4 linked regions of the Sus scrofa genome follow. The protein of the gene in region 2 purifies or fractionates together with the protein of the main gene of each other region. This does not show direct contact. Links are inferred from orthologs where the notes say so. Each region holds a gene or a part of one and is shown on either strand. Other genes may lie near its edges.

Region 1 (4,029 bases), on a different chromosome or scaffold from region 2:
TCCCCGTGTGCTAGACGTAGGTGACTGGGCCAGGGGCAGAGGTCACGTGGTGGGGGCGGGAAATGGGTGGGTTTGGGTGAGATGTTGTGGGAACCAAGGATGACTCTGACTGGGGCTGGAGGTGGGAGGTGGGGCTGTTTCCCATGATGGGTGAGGAACTAGCGTTTTTGGGCCTGGGTCGCGGGGGGGGGTGTTCGGCTACGTCCTGGCCTTGGTCCCCCGCGGGCAGGTGGCGGTGCAGGAGAGGGGGTAGTTTGAGGACGTCTCCGTGTTTCCCTGTGGCGCCCCCACCCCCGCTGTGCCCTCTCCCTCGAAGGAACTAAAGCCTCCTTTGGGGGCAGCTCTGGGAGCAGTGGGGGAGCCCTGGGCTGGGGGGGCAGACGGCGCCACCTGTAGCACAGGTGAGAGGCTGGACCCCCCCGCCCCCCGCCAGGGTCTGATTGTGAGGGAGGGTGGGGGACTGTGCCTGTCCTCCAGCTCCTCACAGACCCCCTGATCCCCCGCCGCCACTGCCAGTGCGGCTCCCGCCACGCAGGTGACAGGGTACAAGGAACTGGTCTGCCTTCTGTCGCGTCTGTCCTGCGTCCAGCCCAGGGCCTGCCCTCAAGGGGCCCCGTGGGCACAGACTTGGCGGTTGAGGGGTGGCTGCAGTCCGTCCTTCTCCTGCCCCTCCGGGCAGGGGCTCCATCTCTGAGGAGTGCCCCGGCTACTTCCCCGGTGTCCTGACTGCCAGGGGGGCCCAGGAGAGCCGGGCTGGGTGGCCAGCGCTGCAGCTCGAGTCCCAGCCCTGCCTGACCTGCAGCACCAGGCAAGCCCTCGGGCCTCTGTCCCCTGGTGTCTGGCCAGGGAGCCGGTCCCAGGAGGGTGGAGTCAGGCTGCTGAAGGCTCAGAAAGTTGGGGGGGGGTGGGAGAGGACTGGGCTGGGAGGGGCCTGCAGGGACCCCGCCTGTGTGACAGGTGGCCCTCAAGCTATGAGTGGGTGTCCCCAGAGGCAGGCCGACTTCCTGAGCAAAGTGGGGTATCCCAGGCAGCTGATGGGCAGACACCCCAGGCTATGGCGGCCACTGCGAGTGCTGGGCAGCTCAGCTCAGCTCAGCCGCAGGTGCTGGGGGCTGGTGGGCTCCGTGTGGCTCAGAAATGCGCATTTTCAAAGATTCGGTCTTTTGTGTGCTCTCCTGATTTTTGAAGGCTGATAGTTAAAAAAAACCAACCCTCCTTCAGGATGCAGGTCTGGCTGGACTCGGCTGCAGCCTCCTGCTGTGTCTTCAGACTGCGTGTGCTGTGCCAGGCCGCGGGCCGGTGTGCGCAGCTGCTTCGGGACGTTCCCCAAGGCCCGGGCCTCCCTGCCTACTTGGCCTGGTGCCCGTGGTCTGTGCACTGTCTCGGCGGCAGCCCAGCCCTGCGGGGTCCCAAACCTAGAGCCCGTGTCTGGCTGTCCTCCTGGGTGACCCCACCCGTGGATGGGCCGCCTGGACCAGGTGGGTTGGGAGAAGGGAAGGGGGCAGCCAGATGCTGGCCATGGGCTGAAAGAAGGGGTTGCGGGCTCACAGGACGAGCCGGGCCTGGGAAGCGGAGGGGGTGCCGGCCTGGGCCTGCCAAGGAGCCAGCGGGCAGGTGGAGGGGAGCGGGGCTCCTGCCCCTGGACCCGGCCTGGACCGGCCACCTGCAAGGCCCGCGGGCATGTGTGCACAGGGGAGGCGCGGGCCTGCTCACCACCCGAGCTCCACCCCAGGCACGGGGCCGGGGGGGCTGGTCCCTGGCGTGTCTTGGGCCTTGCTGTGCCCCCTGCCTGAGCCCCTTTCTGGCCTGGACCCTCGCCGGCTCCAGGCCCTCACCACCCCTGCTGCGCTGGTGCCAGGCACCCTGGTGGGGAGTGGGCTTCCTGGCCGTGGTGGCTCCTCTTCCTGCCCCGCTCAGCCCTGGCCGGATCCTGCTTCCTGCTGTGGCCGCAGCGGCTTCCCTGCCCTCAGGCGGCTCTGAGCTGCCCAGACGCCACTTCCATTTGCTGACACGAAACCCACGGTCCCGGCCCTGGGCTCACATGGGGCGGGGGCTGTGGGGGCGCAGCCTGGCTCCCCTTTCGAGGCGACGGTGGCTCTGCTGAGTGGCCAGCGGGCCGAGGCCTGCAGGGACCTGTTCAGCCCGCCTGGGCGCACGGTGCCGCTGCGGGGGCTCTGCCAGGGCGAGGGGCTCGCGGGAGCGTGGGGCAGGGTCTGCTCCCCTTGCCCTGTGCCCCGGGCCGGGTGAGGGGCTCCCCAGGTGCCGCTCAGGTCATGCTGCAGTGACTGTAGCTCCAGTCCGGGCAGTCCCTCATCCACAAGCAGTACCCTCTGCGAGGGCCCAGCACTGGCCTGGGGCAGATCCGAGCCGGCAGCCGGGCTGAGGGTGGGCACGGTGCTGGGCCCCTGCTCCTGGGGCTGGGGTGCTCTCTTTGGGACCCCGGCGGCACCAGGCTGTGGCCGTGGTCGTGGCCAGCCAGCCGGTGTGGGGCCGAGTTTCCTGTTTTGTGAGCGCGTTGAGTTTTCTCTTCAAAACAAACAACAAAAGAGGAAGCTCAGGCGTCCTTGGCTGGGGGGTGAGGGGTCACTGCCCGCCCCGCTTGGTGTCCCTGGGCTCCTGCCTGATGGGCCCCGAGTGGGCAGTGCTCCTGCCTCCTTCCTGGCCCTGCCGGGCAGGGGAGGGGGCTGGGGCGCCGCTGGGGTCCCGGGCTGGCTTCTGCGGACACCCCAGCTGCCCCAGGTGGCATGGTGTGCACGCCCAGGAGGGGAACCCAGGTCTGGGCGGGATGGGCTGGGATGCCAGGCCCAGTCCGGAGCCCTGGGCCCGGACCCCTACCCTGCGCCAGCCCTAGGGAGAGGCCTGGGCTGGGTTGCGTCAGGCCAGTTCCTAGAAGTGCCACGGGAGGGCGGGGCGGGGGGGCTGGCTCGGCTGTGGCTGGCGTCCCCTCTCCCCGGGCACACCCGGCCAGGCTCGCGGCCAGTGCCCTCCCCGCGGGCCTCCCGCGCAGGAGCCGGCGGCTGCCTCTGTGCCCACAGAGGGTGGATGCCCACTGCTCCCGCCCCCTCGCCGAGCCTGGCCCCGCAGCCCCAGGAGGAGGCCCCCCAGCCCGGACCTGGCCCCTGGCGGGTTGGCAGAGGGCCCTGGCTCCGGGCTGGGGTGGAGCTGCGTGCGCCCCGCTTAGCCACGCCCTGCTTCCTCTTGAACCTTCAGAAGGGACAGGCTTGTGTGTCAGAAACAGCAGGATCGATGGTGGCGGTTCTTTGGTGGCGCCTCTGCTGACCCTGGGGGCTTTAGGCTGGGGCACTGGGTTTGGGGTCACCGATCCCTGCCCCCTGCCCCGACCATCTCCAGGGTGGTCGGGCCTGCCCAGAGGTCTCAGTGCTTCTCCCAGCAGGGGCGGGAGCCCACCCTGGGCCCTGCTGCTGAGGCGCTGGCGTCCCCCTCGGGCCGTGGGGGCCTCACAGCCAGTGCTGGGGGCTGTGGCGCGGGAGCCAGGTGACGCCTGGAGCGGGGAGGATGCAGCCTGCCCCCGGGTCACAGAGGAGGGGGCCGAGGGAGGGGGCCCTGTCCCCACCAGGCCCCGCTGTCCTCCCGGCTGTCCCGCCGCAGATGTCACTCCGGTCAGGGAAGAGCAGGTGTCGGGCTGGGAGGCCTTCCTCTGCGCCTCTGGGCTGGCCCCTTCCTGTGCGGGTTGTGCTTCTTCCTGGGTGTCGGTGCCCGGAGCCCCTTGCACCCCAACCCGGGCCTCGCTTAGGGAGGCTGGGGGTCACTTGGACGCCGAGGTCTTGCCTCTGCCTCCTCTGGGTGTTTGCAGGGAAGGGGTCTGGGCAGGGCCCCTGCCCACGGGGAGGGCTCGGCCATCCCTCTTGCCCCCCGCCCCAAGCCACCCTGCGGGAGCTACCACAGCCCGTCTGTGCGCCGCCGTCCGCCCGCTCTGTCTCCGCCTCTGCCTGCTCAGGACCCCGAGGCCTTTCTGGGTTTGGTTGGGTGGCTCTTGGCCCAGGAGTGAGAGTGTGTCCCCAGGGAGGC
Region 2 (3,560 bases):
GGATATTGAATTTAATTTCCCTGAAACCATTGTAGTCAAAAATTTTTTAGCCCAATTTTTTGCTCTTTGAAGGTTAACTAACAAGATGATTCAATCAGGCTTTATTTAGTTCAAATAAAATCCTTTGGAACCAGCCCAGTGTAGTTTCAACTTAGTTTCATTTCCTGGAGGGTAGAATGTGGGATTCACCCTTCCCCCTAGTTTTTCATAAAAAGCATGTAGCTACTTCAGTGCAGGCAGATTTCAACAAGATGAGAGAACAAGTCTTTCTGGAAATCACTTTCTTCCCTTCATTCAGATGTTGTGAGAGTTTTTTAAAGTCCTTTTTGCAGTTTTCTAGATGAGCATTCACTTGTCAATCTTTTCTTTTCAAAACAACTTTTCCTCTTTTTCTGTCCTAAAAATATGCAGATATTCATGAATTAGTTTCCTTTCGTGTGTCTATAACTGCATATTTCTTCAAGAATTGTACTTTAGTAAGATTGTCAGAGTTTCCCCAACCAACCCCATTCCAAGATGTTTCAGAACAGTACATTTTAATGTTTTCTAATTCTACACTGAAGAAATTCTTAGAGTATTTAAGTCAGGTGATACAAACGGGACCCAAAGAAATAGATTCGTAAAAATACTTTAAAGAACTGTGCTGCCGAAACTGGTTTCCTTCCTAGTTAAAACCATTTCAGAAACTGCATGAATGACCTTTATTTTCTTCTCTAGCACACACGACTATAATTTCCCATGACTATTTATGGTCTGTACAGCCCTTTTCTAACTTCCTTTTTTTTTTTTTTTTAATGTCAACGGGATATGTGTTCCTTTAATGGAAAATGTTCTATTTTGGGGGAGCTGCTTTTCCTTAGATAAGTGGTGGAGTTAAGGTGGGTGGGTGGGTGGGTGTGAGTGTGTGGAGGTTGCAAGATTGGAGAGTATTAAATTAGTGGATTGAAAGCTTGGAATGACAGTCCTGGTGATGACTCTCGAGTACAAATTCTTTTTATCCAAGATTAAAAATAACTATACCTAGAAGCTCTCTTGTGGTGCATCAGGTTAAGGAATCCAACGTTGTCACTACAGTGGCTCCGGTTGCTATTGTGGCCAGGGTTCAGTCCCTGGCCCAGAAACTTACATGTGCCATGAACATGGCTTCCTCCCAAAACAGACAACAAACAAACAAACAAAAATCTTCTTTTGAAGGAAGATTTTATTCTTTTTTTCTAATTTATGGTAAAACAATCCTGAATTAAATGCTGAATGTATCAAGCCTAGGTTCTGAAACAAGAGAAAGGCAGTTCATTAACAGGGTAGTTCTAGGTCAGGGTTGGGGGGCAAGGCAGCTTGATCTTGGTACCTAGAGCAGGTAAGTCCTATGAGCGGGGCACTCTCCATGCTTGGGCCATTGCAGCCTCATGATGGGCCACACTGTGACGTGGGGGTGGGGGATTGTCTGCCATGCACTGTGTTGTCTATCGCCTATCATCCACACCCAGTACTTGCTCTGTCCATCTCTTCCCTTTCCAGTGCTTTGGAACCTGATCACAGCAAGGATTTTGTTTCAGTGCTCCAGCTTCGCATTTTGCATTTATCTGTGTTCCACAGTAACTATGGAAGGATTACACTGTTTTTGACAGTTTTAGTTATCTCAAGTTTAATAACATTCTTCATACTTCATACTTAAGCTCCATCATTTGCATAACTGGTGGCATATACATCTTATTTTAATGTAAATTTTATTGAAGTATCATATAAATACAGAAAAGCAGCCAAATCATAAGTATAGCACCTGATAAATTTTCTCAAAGTGACCAGCACCCAGATCGAGAACCAGAACGTTATCATATTGGAGAAATTAGCTGACTCCTCGACACTGTTTCCCTTCCCCAACTTTTAATACTATAGATTAGTTTACCTGATTTTGAACTCCAGAATTATGGAATTATGCAGTGTACCCTCCGGTATCTGGCTGTTTTCACTCTATTATATTTGTGAGATTCATGCTGTTGATACATGTAGTTGTTCTTTTTCACCACTACATAGTAGTGCATTATTTTACTACAGAGCAAATTATCTCCTGCCATTGTGAATATATAGTCAGTAAAATATGGTTTAGCCATCGTACTAAAAAGGACTTAGCCACTATGTGATTTAGTTGTATTGTGATCTGATGTCTAATTGTTTTATTGCCATACAAGCTCTTTTATTTTAAAATAGGCAGCAGTTTTTCTTAAGAGAGAATATCAACTTTTTTTTATCACTCTCCCTTCCACTCCCTACCAGCTATAAAATTAATCACTTCCTCTCACCTTTGTGCTTCCATAAAAATTGATTTCTCTTTGTAGTTAACTCATATAGAGAGCTATTGTTCCTTATAAATAGTAGGGTTACATATCTATTTGCCTACCAAAGCCAGCACCTATCTTTAAATTCATGTTTGTAAACCCAGTTTCCAGTAGGCCCAGTATCAATCTGAAAACTAGGTTTGTTGAGAATTCTGGACTAGAGCCCTGTCTTAACAGGAGATTTTGTTGCATTTTGTCATTGTAGCCTGAGATTCCTGAATGCATCGGCAAACAAACTGGAAACGCTTCCTCCAGCCACACTTTCTGAAGAGACAAACAGCATCTTACAGGAGTTGTATTTGACAAATAACAACCTCACAGATAAATGTGTGCACTTGTTAACGGGACATCCCCGTCTGAAGATTCTTCACATGGCCTATAACCGACTTCAGAGTTTTCCAGCAAGGTAAAAGAAGATCCCAAAGTGCTGCCCTTCATGGACAGGATGGAGAGGCAAAACCTAAAGTGATTATTTCCCAGATAATGTAAAGCTTGTGCCTCCTGATTCTGTTCACAGCTGTCTTTTATGTAAGCCATCAGCATTCCCCTAAAGAGAAATGTTTCTTTTTCTGATATGAATGTATTCAAAGACCCACTCACTAGGATGTTCTTATGATTTTGAAATAAGGTATGCCATTTAGTGAATATGTTTTTTCTTTTGCTTCTTTTTAACTGGTCAAGTTAATTTAAAAAAAATTTAACCTAATATGGTGTGTGGGGATTAGCACATAGACTAGGATCCTGAGGGTTCTTATTTAGCTGTCAGCTTTTGTGTTTGTATTTATGGTATAAAAAGCAGTGGTGGCCTATGCAATCATAGAAACTGACATTAAAAAGAATTAGCAGCTCTGAGGAAATCACACTTTTAATGCTATTTTAATTTCTGATTTGGGAGAGCAGTGGCATTGTCTCTTGCTTTGAGTGAATCTACACACAGCCTGCCCTGAAGGATTTATGTCATTGGCATGTATCCATTTAACAAGTTAGGTCTTGGAGCTGGTACCCACATGTCAAAGAAGCAGACACTCAGCCCTCTGGTATCCTGCTGCTACTACAACCTAGCATTGGGCCAGAACAAAGACTTGGAACAGCCTCCCTCTGCTGCCATCAGGGATACCAGTCTGTGAAACCCTTGCTAAAGAAGGGAAGCCCAAATATGTATTGACTTCAAGTATTGCTCTGTATTTTTGTAGTATACATCTGTTTCTTTAGTTTTTCACTCAT
Region 3 (4,249 bases), on a different chromosome or scaffold from region 2:
TTTGTCCTTAACTCTTTTTTTTTTTTTTTTGTCTTTTTAGGGCTGCACCCGGCATAGGGAGCTTCCCAGGGTACGGGTCAAATTGGAACTACAGCTGCTGGCCTACACCAAAACAGTGTGAAGTGGAGCCTTGTCTTCGACCTAAGGATGAACCTTTGCATCCTTAACCTCTGACGGAGGCCAGGGATGGAACCCACATCCTCATGGATACTAGTCAGGTTCCACAACAGAATTCCTGTCCTTAACTTTCTTACACAACAAAAAAGGCCAGATATTAAAATTCTTATTAGCCTGCTTAGTATATTAATGGTCATATCACAAATTAACCCATTTTAGTAATAGATCTGGAATAAAGTAGTATCATTAAAGCATAAAAACTTTATTATGTATTAGTTTATTCAGAAAACAACAAGCAACTACCATCTCAAGTAGGAGGTGGGAAACAGATGAATGGGAAATTAAAGGAGTGCTTAGAAGCAGCTGAGTTCTCCTTCCAGAGCCTTTTCTACTTATATGAAATAGTCTAAAACCTTGTGTGAAAAACAAGAAACCATATGCAAGATTAGGATAACAGTGTAAAAAAATGCCATAATTTGTGTAAATCAAATTCTTAACGCTCTAGAAACCAAAATATGCTACTGATTTTCCAAACTTAAACTCCAGAATTTTTTAAAATTCTGCTTTAAGTAGGGAAAAAAGGATAGTTTGCATTATGCAAACTTTCTTCCCTGTCTTAAAATAAAACTTTCTGATTAAAAAAATGTATCTGTGGTAGTTATTTTAAACTTCAATCCTGTTTTTTTATTAGGCTATCTAGGGGGAAATTATCTGCCTGGAGTATTACCAGAAAATCACTTAAGAGTCCAAAAGCTCAGCAAGGACTTTACAAATAAATAGGCAGAGTAACAATACGAACTAAATTCCATCCTTATTTAACATTTCACTGGGCTGCCTCGGATCTAGGACCTCATAACACTGAACTCGGCAGTGAAGCCAACTTTTTGAGACACCTCAGGAATAAATGGAAAGCCGACCAATTTCCACAGACCCACTCCAACTCAATTTACTCTCCAGACTACCTAGTGCTACTGAAGAAACGCTATCACGAATGATAAACCAGCCTGCACTAAGGTGTCAGGGATCTCTTAAGCATCAATGATTCCCGCAAAAGGGTTTTCTTGGGAGCCAATCTGATTTCTCTAAAAGACAAAGTAACCCGACTTACATATAAACATAAGAAAAAAATGGCCAGGCAGCTAAAATAACTACCAATCCTAATCAATAAACCAATCCTCCAGGCTCCTTCAAGCAGTGATTTAACATGACCTAGTTAATCTAACATTTGACCAGGTGCCGTGCCTTATGCTGCACCATTTCTTGCTCCCGCCTGTCCTTATCACTGGGGTTTGCTACAACAAAAATGTTTCTCCCGTAATCTAAATCCGGTTTCGCAGAACCCACGATAAATCGAACATTGCATGTTACTGAACAAGTGACAGTGTGAACACTAAGTCCTATTCGTCTTAAGCGGCCTCCTTCACAAGGTGGTACGACTTAATTGCAACTTTCCACGAAAAACGTAACATAAGGAGAACATTCCCAACAAAGGTTTAAGACACGTGGCATTCTAAATACTTGTTAAAAAAAAAAGAAGTAAAAGTTTAAACTGCGCGGTAAAATGCAGCAATCCCGACCCAGGACAACGCGAGCGAAAACATTCCTTGGCGCTACCCCGCACTCTCTAGGAACGGAAAGGAAAGCGAAAAGACGGGATGGGGTCTGTGCCCGTGCCCGTGAGGACGCCACGGGCCCGGCGGGAGGCGTCTTGAAGCAGGACCGCAGCTCCGGGACCCTCGCCCGCGGAGCTGGCCTATTTACGCCCGGCCCGCACCTGCCTTGAGTCCCCGGCGGCGGCAGGAGGGCGCCCCGCCCGCTGCACGGAGCTCGGCGGCGGCGCTGCACCCACGAAGCCGAGGTCCTCCCCGCGGCCCCCTCGGGCGCCGGCCCCACCTCCACAGGCCCTCCTTACCTGGTCATGGCCCAAAGCGAGGTCCGCGGCGGTGACGCCGACAAGTCCAACCAGGCCGAGCGTGGGTGCCACAGGTGAGCCCCTGCCCCGAGCCCGCGGGGGCCCCCCGACCCAAGGAAAAGCTGGTCGGATCGCCCTCCCCGCGGGGGAGTGACCATTCGCTCTGAAGAGCGGGAACCCGGGCTGCCGCTCGGTCCTGCCCGGCGCCCGCACCAACTACATCCCCGGAGCGGCGCCCGCCCGCGCCCGCCCCCGCCCCGGGACGGCAAGGAGCGCCAGAAGCAGCTCCGCTCGCCCGGCGTCCTAACCGCTAGGGTCTTCCTCACTCCACCACCGACGGGAACTTGGCGCGTTTTCCTCAGTCTCAGGACCCCCGTGTTTTAGCCTCCGCCCGCGCCAGCGCTGCGATTGGAAGTGGTGTCCTGCGAAAGTGCCGGTTCTAGTCTCCACGCGGTGGAGACGCGAAAGGCCAGAGCCGCCTCGAGACCGCCACTCGCCCCTTGGCCCGCACGGGCTCCGGAACCAGCTGGAACGGTAGTTGCCTCAAGCTCGTAACGGGTTCTGCAGTTTCAAACAGCGCAGGCAGCGTCACGGGCAGCTCGCGCGGGTCCTCGCTGAGGGCGCGCGCTTAGGAGCGAGAGGCCTGGCTGGCGGGCTCCAGCCTCACACCCTTTTTTTTTTTTTTTTTTTTAACCATTCGTGCGCGAGAGTTGAGGGGAAAGCGTACGGGTCGGGAAACAGGACAGAGAGGTGGGATGGACTCCCTGCTCGGGAAGGAGCCGCCAGGTGCTCAAATCCACCAATCCGTAATGAACAATCCCCCGTGCCGCCTAAGAGGAGCCAATCAAAAGTACCTAGACAAAAGCGAACTGGGTGGGCGGGGAAAGGCAGTCCACCCAATACAAAAAAAAGACAGGAGGGCTTCAGCCAATCATTGTTGGCCATAGAGAGTGTTCTTCAGACGCCGTTCTCCTCCCGCTCTCATTGGCGCTCGAGTGCGCGCTTTCGCTGCCGACTGTTAAATCTTGGTCTGCGTTTTGTGAATCCCAGAAGGTGGGACGCCAGCGAGGGTGCGGTTTCCGGAGAGGGGCCCTCACAATAAGTCCCGCCTCCGTTTCATGCGTACACACTCGGGCGGGGTTACTCGGGAGATTAGTTTCGGAAAATGGCTGACCGCCTCGCTTGCTGCTGTGCGCCCGAATCGCAGCCCCAGCCCCCGGGCCATCCAGTAAAATAATTGCCGCCATGAAAAATAGTAAATTCTCAACCGAACGGTGCAGAGCCGAGGCTCCTTCCTCAGCCCTTCCACGCGTTATTTTCTCCTCTTTACCCTTTCCCCTCCCCACCGACGTCTCTTGTTGTCTCCGGACGACGAGGAGACTAAAGAGCATTCTTAACGCCCGGCTCTGGCTGGGGGAGCTTCGAGGGGTTCTTGCGCGAGGCCTTACTAATGGGCTCAAAACACGGCAAGGCAGGCCTTTCCATAGCTTCTGCTTCCGTCCCTGTTTGTATGCCTACCTCGGAGGCGAGGTGATCTCACAAAGCAAGTGGAAAACAGGATAAGTTCAGTGCAAATTCATTTAACTAAGCCTGTTTTTAGGTGCTTGATGTGCCAGGCACTTTTCCAGGCGCCAGGGATACGGCGCGAATGAACATTAACTGCTCCAAAGGGGCTTTCCCTTCTAGGCAGGGTAAATGCAAAGCTAAAATGAGATAAAATAATATGAGTGATAGGAGAGGAAATAAGGAGGGTGCTGTTCTAGGTACCACAGTCAGACATTTGAGTAGAAAACTAAATGAAGACACAGCCAGCCTTGGCCGAATCTGAGGGAGGAATGGTCCCAGCAAGGAGAAAGGTAAGTTATAAAAGTCTTCAGGCACTTGGCGTTCTGGAAAGAAGGCAGGGAGGCCAAGGAGCTTAGAGCGCAGTGAACTTAAGTGCGGAAGATTGTGGGACGTGAGATCGGCGACACTGGGCAGGGCTCTGGTTAGGTAAGGAGACGGGAATCACTTGACGGTTTGAAGCTGGGGAGTGGCGTGATCGGTTAAGTGACTGCTCGTGGTGGACAGACTGCTGACCTTCAAAACTGCAAGCTGGAAGGTCACCTAGGAGGCTATTTCTGCTGCCCAGGGAAAAAATTATGGGGGCTTGGGATAAGGTAGTAGCAGTGGAAATGTTGAGAACTGATAGAAGCCAATAGGATCTGCTGATGGATAAGA
Region 4 (4,171 bases), on a different chromosome or scaffold from region 2:
CTGAATCAGGTCAAGTCTCATCATGACAAATTATGAGATATAAATTACTTCGAGTACTTGAATTTTAGTGTCTCAAATACTACTGAAATATCCTTACTAACTTGTTAGCTACATATACACAAGGCCCTACTATAAATTATTTTAACCTGTCTCATTTGGCAGACCTGTCTTTTACACAATAAACAAACATCTTAGTCGCAAAAAAAAAAAAAAAAAAAAAAAAAATCGCACTTCAGTGGCTATTGCTTTTAAGTCAATAATCATGTGATGTACCTACCAATGGCCGCCTAATCTCTGATGAATGTACATTTAATGTCCCTTACACTTTTGGGGACATAATTTCAGTAGTTAAAAAACACTGTAAAAAAAAAATTCAGAATGTAAAATGAAAAAAATCTAATTTCTAATCAGCTAGGTTAAAAGTTCAAATAGTTTCAGAATTATAAAATGTATAGAACATGTAACTGTTCAGCATAAAATAATTACAAATTTAGTGTGCCAAATTATGTAACTATAGGCTTTTATTAGGAATTGTGAAAAATTACATTAAAGGCCTACAGAGACTATTAATGAGAGATACAGCAAGCATATTACTGTTAAATAAAACAGTATTAATATCTGAATTGTGAGATTTATCCTCAAGTTTAGTTGGTTTAATGTGTTCCGGTTTTTTTGTGGCTTTACTCGTTAAAAAATATTTTCCCAGCCTCAAACTCAAAGGGAGCCACACCTGAGGGTTAATGACAAAAACATTCCCAATGTAAACTGTGTAGATGCGATAATTCAACTTATGCTTAAATTTGAAACTGTAATGTGGCTGATAATTTTATGATATGGTCTACCACAAGTTAAAGTAAACAAAGTTAAAGGGGACAAAAATCAGCAATTAAAGTGTGTAAAAACTGAATCTGAAAGCAATCTTTTAATTAAAAGTCACTTTTATAGTTAAAGTTCCCAAAATATGCTTTTGTGTAAATGAAACTATGAAATGTAGCTTTATGATATGTGGTATATTTAAGCATCATCACAGGACAAAGATTTTATAACTAATTACACACAGTAGTTAAACTAATATTCCCATACACTTTAAAGAACAATTAATTACATAAATCGCTCAGAACCATGAGAGCCCGGGTCTCATAAAAGTCTTCAAGTCTATTTATATAGAATCAAATCCACTCTGGACAAGTCACTGTTCAACCATTCAACCTTCACTAAGCATCAAAAAGGCAACTCAGCTTTCAATAGAAATTACTTCTACACCTATATATACAAGGATGGTCTTCCTTTCCTAGACCGATTCGTTCTAAGCTAAGAAGCCTTGAGGAAACTAAACAACCTATTCAATCCAAGAAAAAACAGAAAATTGAAGATTTCATTAGTTGTCTAATCTAATATTTTAAAATAGTCACGTTGAACTGATTAAAATTGTTTTAAAAAAGAAATTCACCCCAAATTCCCATCCCTAAAAAATTAAAGATTCAGAAACATACTTGTTTTGTTAAATGTTTGAAAGACAAGGACCTCTCAGCATATAAGCCTGTTGTTCTAAAGAAATAAAACATTTTATAAAGACCACTTTGTTTTGCTTTTTTTTTTAATCCCCAATAGTCACAATTAGCTTATTGGTTAGAGTTCACCTTTAAAAGGTGTCACTAATTATCTAAATAACTAAAATTACTATTCAACGAAACACTAATAAAGTAGCATACTAAATCAGAAGTATAACTTTATCACTAAGTTAAACTTACATCTAAGTATAAACCATACCTAGCACAGACATCAAAAAGACATATTAGCAAAGAAAATCTAAATCAACTGTTTATCCAATACGTCATTAGTAACCTTCATAACATATTTTTAAGTAATTACTACATATTATTTTAAAACTTTTTTTTCCCTATAGGTGCCCTAAATTGGTCAGGGCCATAACTGCAGAGTGTTAAGCAGAGGTCAGATGGGAGAGGCAGAAACAGAAAATGTTAAGTATGACAAACAAAAACGTCCCACAAGAATAAGTTTTCACATCCATCTTTGAATTTGGACTCAAACGCCCAAGAGGAAAAGTTACTCTAATTCTCTGGAGACCTCTTCTGAGGGGCAGGGGTGGAACGGTGGGGGAAGGAGAATTCCCAGAGACAATTAAAAACACTCAACCAAAATATGCCTTAACTTTGCCCTGGTCCGCAATCTAACAAAATGGGAAGACAATGAACATAAACACTCCTGTGTGCCCTCAGAAAAGCAAAGAAAGCTCCCATTCAATGCTCAGCCTTATTCCACTCCTGTAAAGTAAATCCAAAACCACGAGCTCAAACTGCTTCATGCAGAATTTACTGAATGGCGGCCAAAGGCTGTACACGCTGTCCTGAACCACACAGAGGGATATCTAGAGTTCTGCATTCTCCATTTACAACTTGTACCTTACCATGCTTTCGCCACCGCTGCAGAAGCCCATTTTCAAACTGAGACTACGACGTTCCTCCCCGCCCGTCCGTGTGAAGCAGGTTCTCTCCCGGCGGGAGAGAAACTTCGCCTTCGCTCTCCCGGCCCCCGCCCAGTTTTTAAAAAATTGAACTAGTTTGACTCCTCTACTGCAACCAGCACCCCTTTTTAGAAGTCATTAAGGGTAGATGCGTTCTAACGCCCCGGAGTGAATTGAATACGGAGCCCTAAAACTCCTCAATGGCCTTCACCTGGCACTAAAATAATCACCTGTTCAAACTGAGCGGCCCTGGCACCCTCTAAGCGCGGCCGAGAGCGGGAATGCTGTTCCAGTCACCAGTCCCGGGTCTGCAGGTGAAGGCGGCGAACACACATCCACACCCACCGCCCGGGGAGCGCAAACCGAAAGCCAGGACCGCGGCGGCCGGACGCTCCGTTATCCTCGCCCTGCGCGGGCCCCGCCAGGTGAGCGAGGCTCCATCGTGCCCGCGGCGTCCCGACGCTCGGCTCACCCCAGCTCCACTTCTCCCGCCGCCCGGGCCCGGAAGGCGAAGTTTCTCTCCCGCCCGCGGCGGCTACTGCTCACGCGCCGCCCGGCCCTCCCGCCAGTCCCGCCGCCTGCTCCGGCCGGCCGCAGTCACCGGCGCCGGGCCTCGGACGAGCCGGAGCCCGGGACCTGTCACCCCGGGCGGGAAACAAAAGCCGGGTGAGGACCAGCGGGCGCCACCGGCCTCGCCTCCGCGAGGGGGAGCGCGGCGGGGGCGGGGAGCGGCTCTCGCGGCCGCCCGGCTCCGCGCCTCCAGGAGGGAACCCCGGCCCCGCGGCCTGGCGGGACGCAAAGGAGCCCCGCGGCGGGCTGGGGACCTCCGGCGCGTCCGCCTCGAGGCTTCCCCGGCCCCTCTCTCCCCGACGCGCCGTTCCCGGACTGGGGAGCCGCATGAGGAGGCGGGGAGGCGGAGCGGGAAGGCGGCGGGACCGCAAAGGAGGAATTCGGCTCCCGGAGCTCCACGACCACCCGCCCCATCCTTGCGGCCATGGCGCCGGTACCTGTCGCCGGGGTTGCTCTACTGCTCTGTCTCTCCCCGCCTCACCCGCACGCAGCTGTCCCCTCAGCCCGCCCAGCAGGCCGCCCGCGCGCCGGACGCCGCCGCCTCCAGAGACTGGCAGCGCCTGCGAACCGGCCCGAATCCCCCGGGCAGCGCCCGGCGCCGTCCCGCCCCCGCCGGCCGTAGGACCCGCCTTCCATAGGGCCCCGGGGCCGTCAGTCCGCCCCCAAAAGGCGCGCGGGCTGTCGCTCTGCCTGTTCGGATTGGCGGCCTCGCGCTGTCCATGCAAATAAGGCCCCGCCCCCGTCCATTTGCACCTCCGCCTTGGTGTAACCTCCGCCTCTCCACGCCAGCCCACGTGTCTGGCCCTTGCCCTTTGTGGGGGCTGGAGGCAAGGGATGAAGGAAACTGACCCACACCCCCTCACACCGTTCCTTGCCTCCAGGGAAATTAATGCCTAAATAAGCTTGTTGACTTAACAACGGGGTCTCTCCCTGAAAACTCTGTCCCCCTTCCTGCCCACCCAACCTGCCCCGTGGATGGAGAGGGGCAGGCCAGGCTGTTTGTGTCAGGTAAGCAAGCCAGGTTAGCCCCAGGAAACACCACCAGGAACTCAAAGTTGTCTCTCAGAAGTGGGAAAATCCCACCCGGAGAACCGTCGCACATAGCACTTTTCTCTG

Evidence for each region.
Region 1: the proteins of PHLPP1 (region 2) and AKT1 purify together in Homo sapiens (affinity purification with western blotting, with the first as the bait; 3 studies listed by BioGRID). This does not show direct contact. The link is inferred for Sus scrofa from reciprocal best matches to the Homo sapiens genes PHLPP1 and AKT1.
Region 3: the proteins of PHLPP1 (region 2) and USP1 purify together in Homo sapiens (affinity purification with mass spectrometry; 6 studies listed by BioGRID and IntAct, counting the BioPlex papers as one, with this or other methods). This does not show direct contact. The link is inferred for Sus scrofa from reciprocal best matches to the Homo sapiens genes PHLPP1 and USP1.
Region 4: the proteins of PHLPP1 (region 2) and FKBP5 purify together in Homo sapiens (affinity purification with mass spectrometry; 4 studies listed by BioGRID and IntAct, with this or other methods). This does not show direct contact. The link is inferred for Sus scrofa from reciprocal best matches to the Homo sapiens genes PHLPP1 and FKBP5.

What each region holds. Positions count from the first base shown.
Region 1 is NW_018084979.1:3,052,651-3,056,679, reverse strand, and holds the start of AKT1 (RAC-alpha serine/threonine-protein kinase), read left to right. Parts: upstream 1-1,207; 5' UTR 1,208-1,222; coding exon 1,223-1,478; intron 1,479-4,029. UniProt on the Homo sapiens protein: AKT1 is one of 3 closely related serine/threonine-protein kinases (AKT1, AKT2 and AKT3) called the AKT kinase, and which regulate many processes including metabolism, proliferation, cell survival, growth and angiogenesis.
Region 2 is NC_010443.5:158,682,111-158,685,670, reverse strand, and holds part of PHLPP1 (PH domain leucine-rich repeat-containing protein phosphatase 1), read left to right. Parts: intron 1-2,541; coding exon 2,542-2,742; intron 2,743-3,560. UniProt on the Homo sapiens protein: Protein phosphatase involved in regulation of Akt and PKC signaling.
Region 3 is NC_010448.4:149,983,125-149,987,373, forward strand, and holds the start of USP1 (ubiquitin carboxyl-terminal hydrolase 1), read right to left. Parts: upstream 2,823-4,249; 5' UTR 2,030-2,822; intron 1-2,029. UniProt on the Homo sapiens protein: Negative regulator of DNA damage repair which specifically deubiquitinates monoubiquitinated FANCD2. Also involved in PCNA-mediated translesion synthesis (TLS) by deubiquitinating monoubiquitinated PCNA.
Region 4 is NC_010449.5:31,547,009-31,551,179, forward strand, and holds the start of FKBP5 (FK506 binding protein 5), read right to left. Parts: upstream 2,823-4,171; 5' UTR 2,716-2,822; intron 1-2,715. UniProt on the Homo sapiens protein: Immunophilin protein with PPIase and co-chaperone activities. Component of unligated steroid receptors heterocomplexes through interaction with heat-shock protein 90 (HSP90).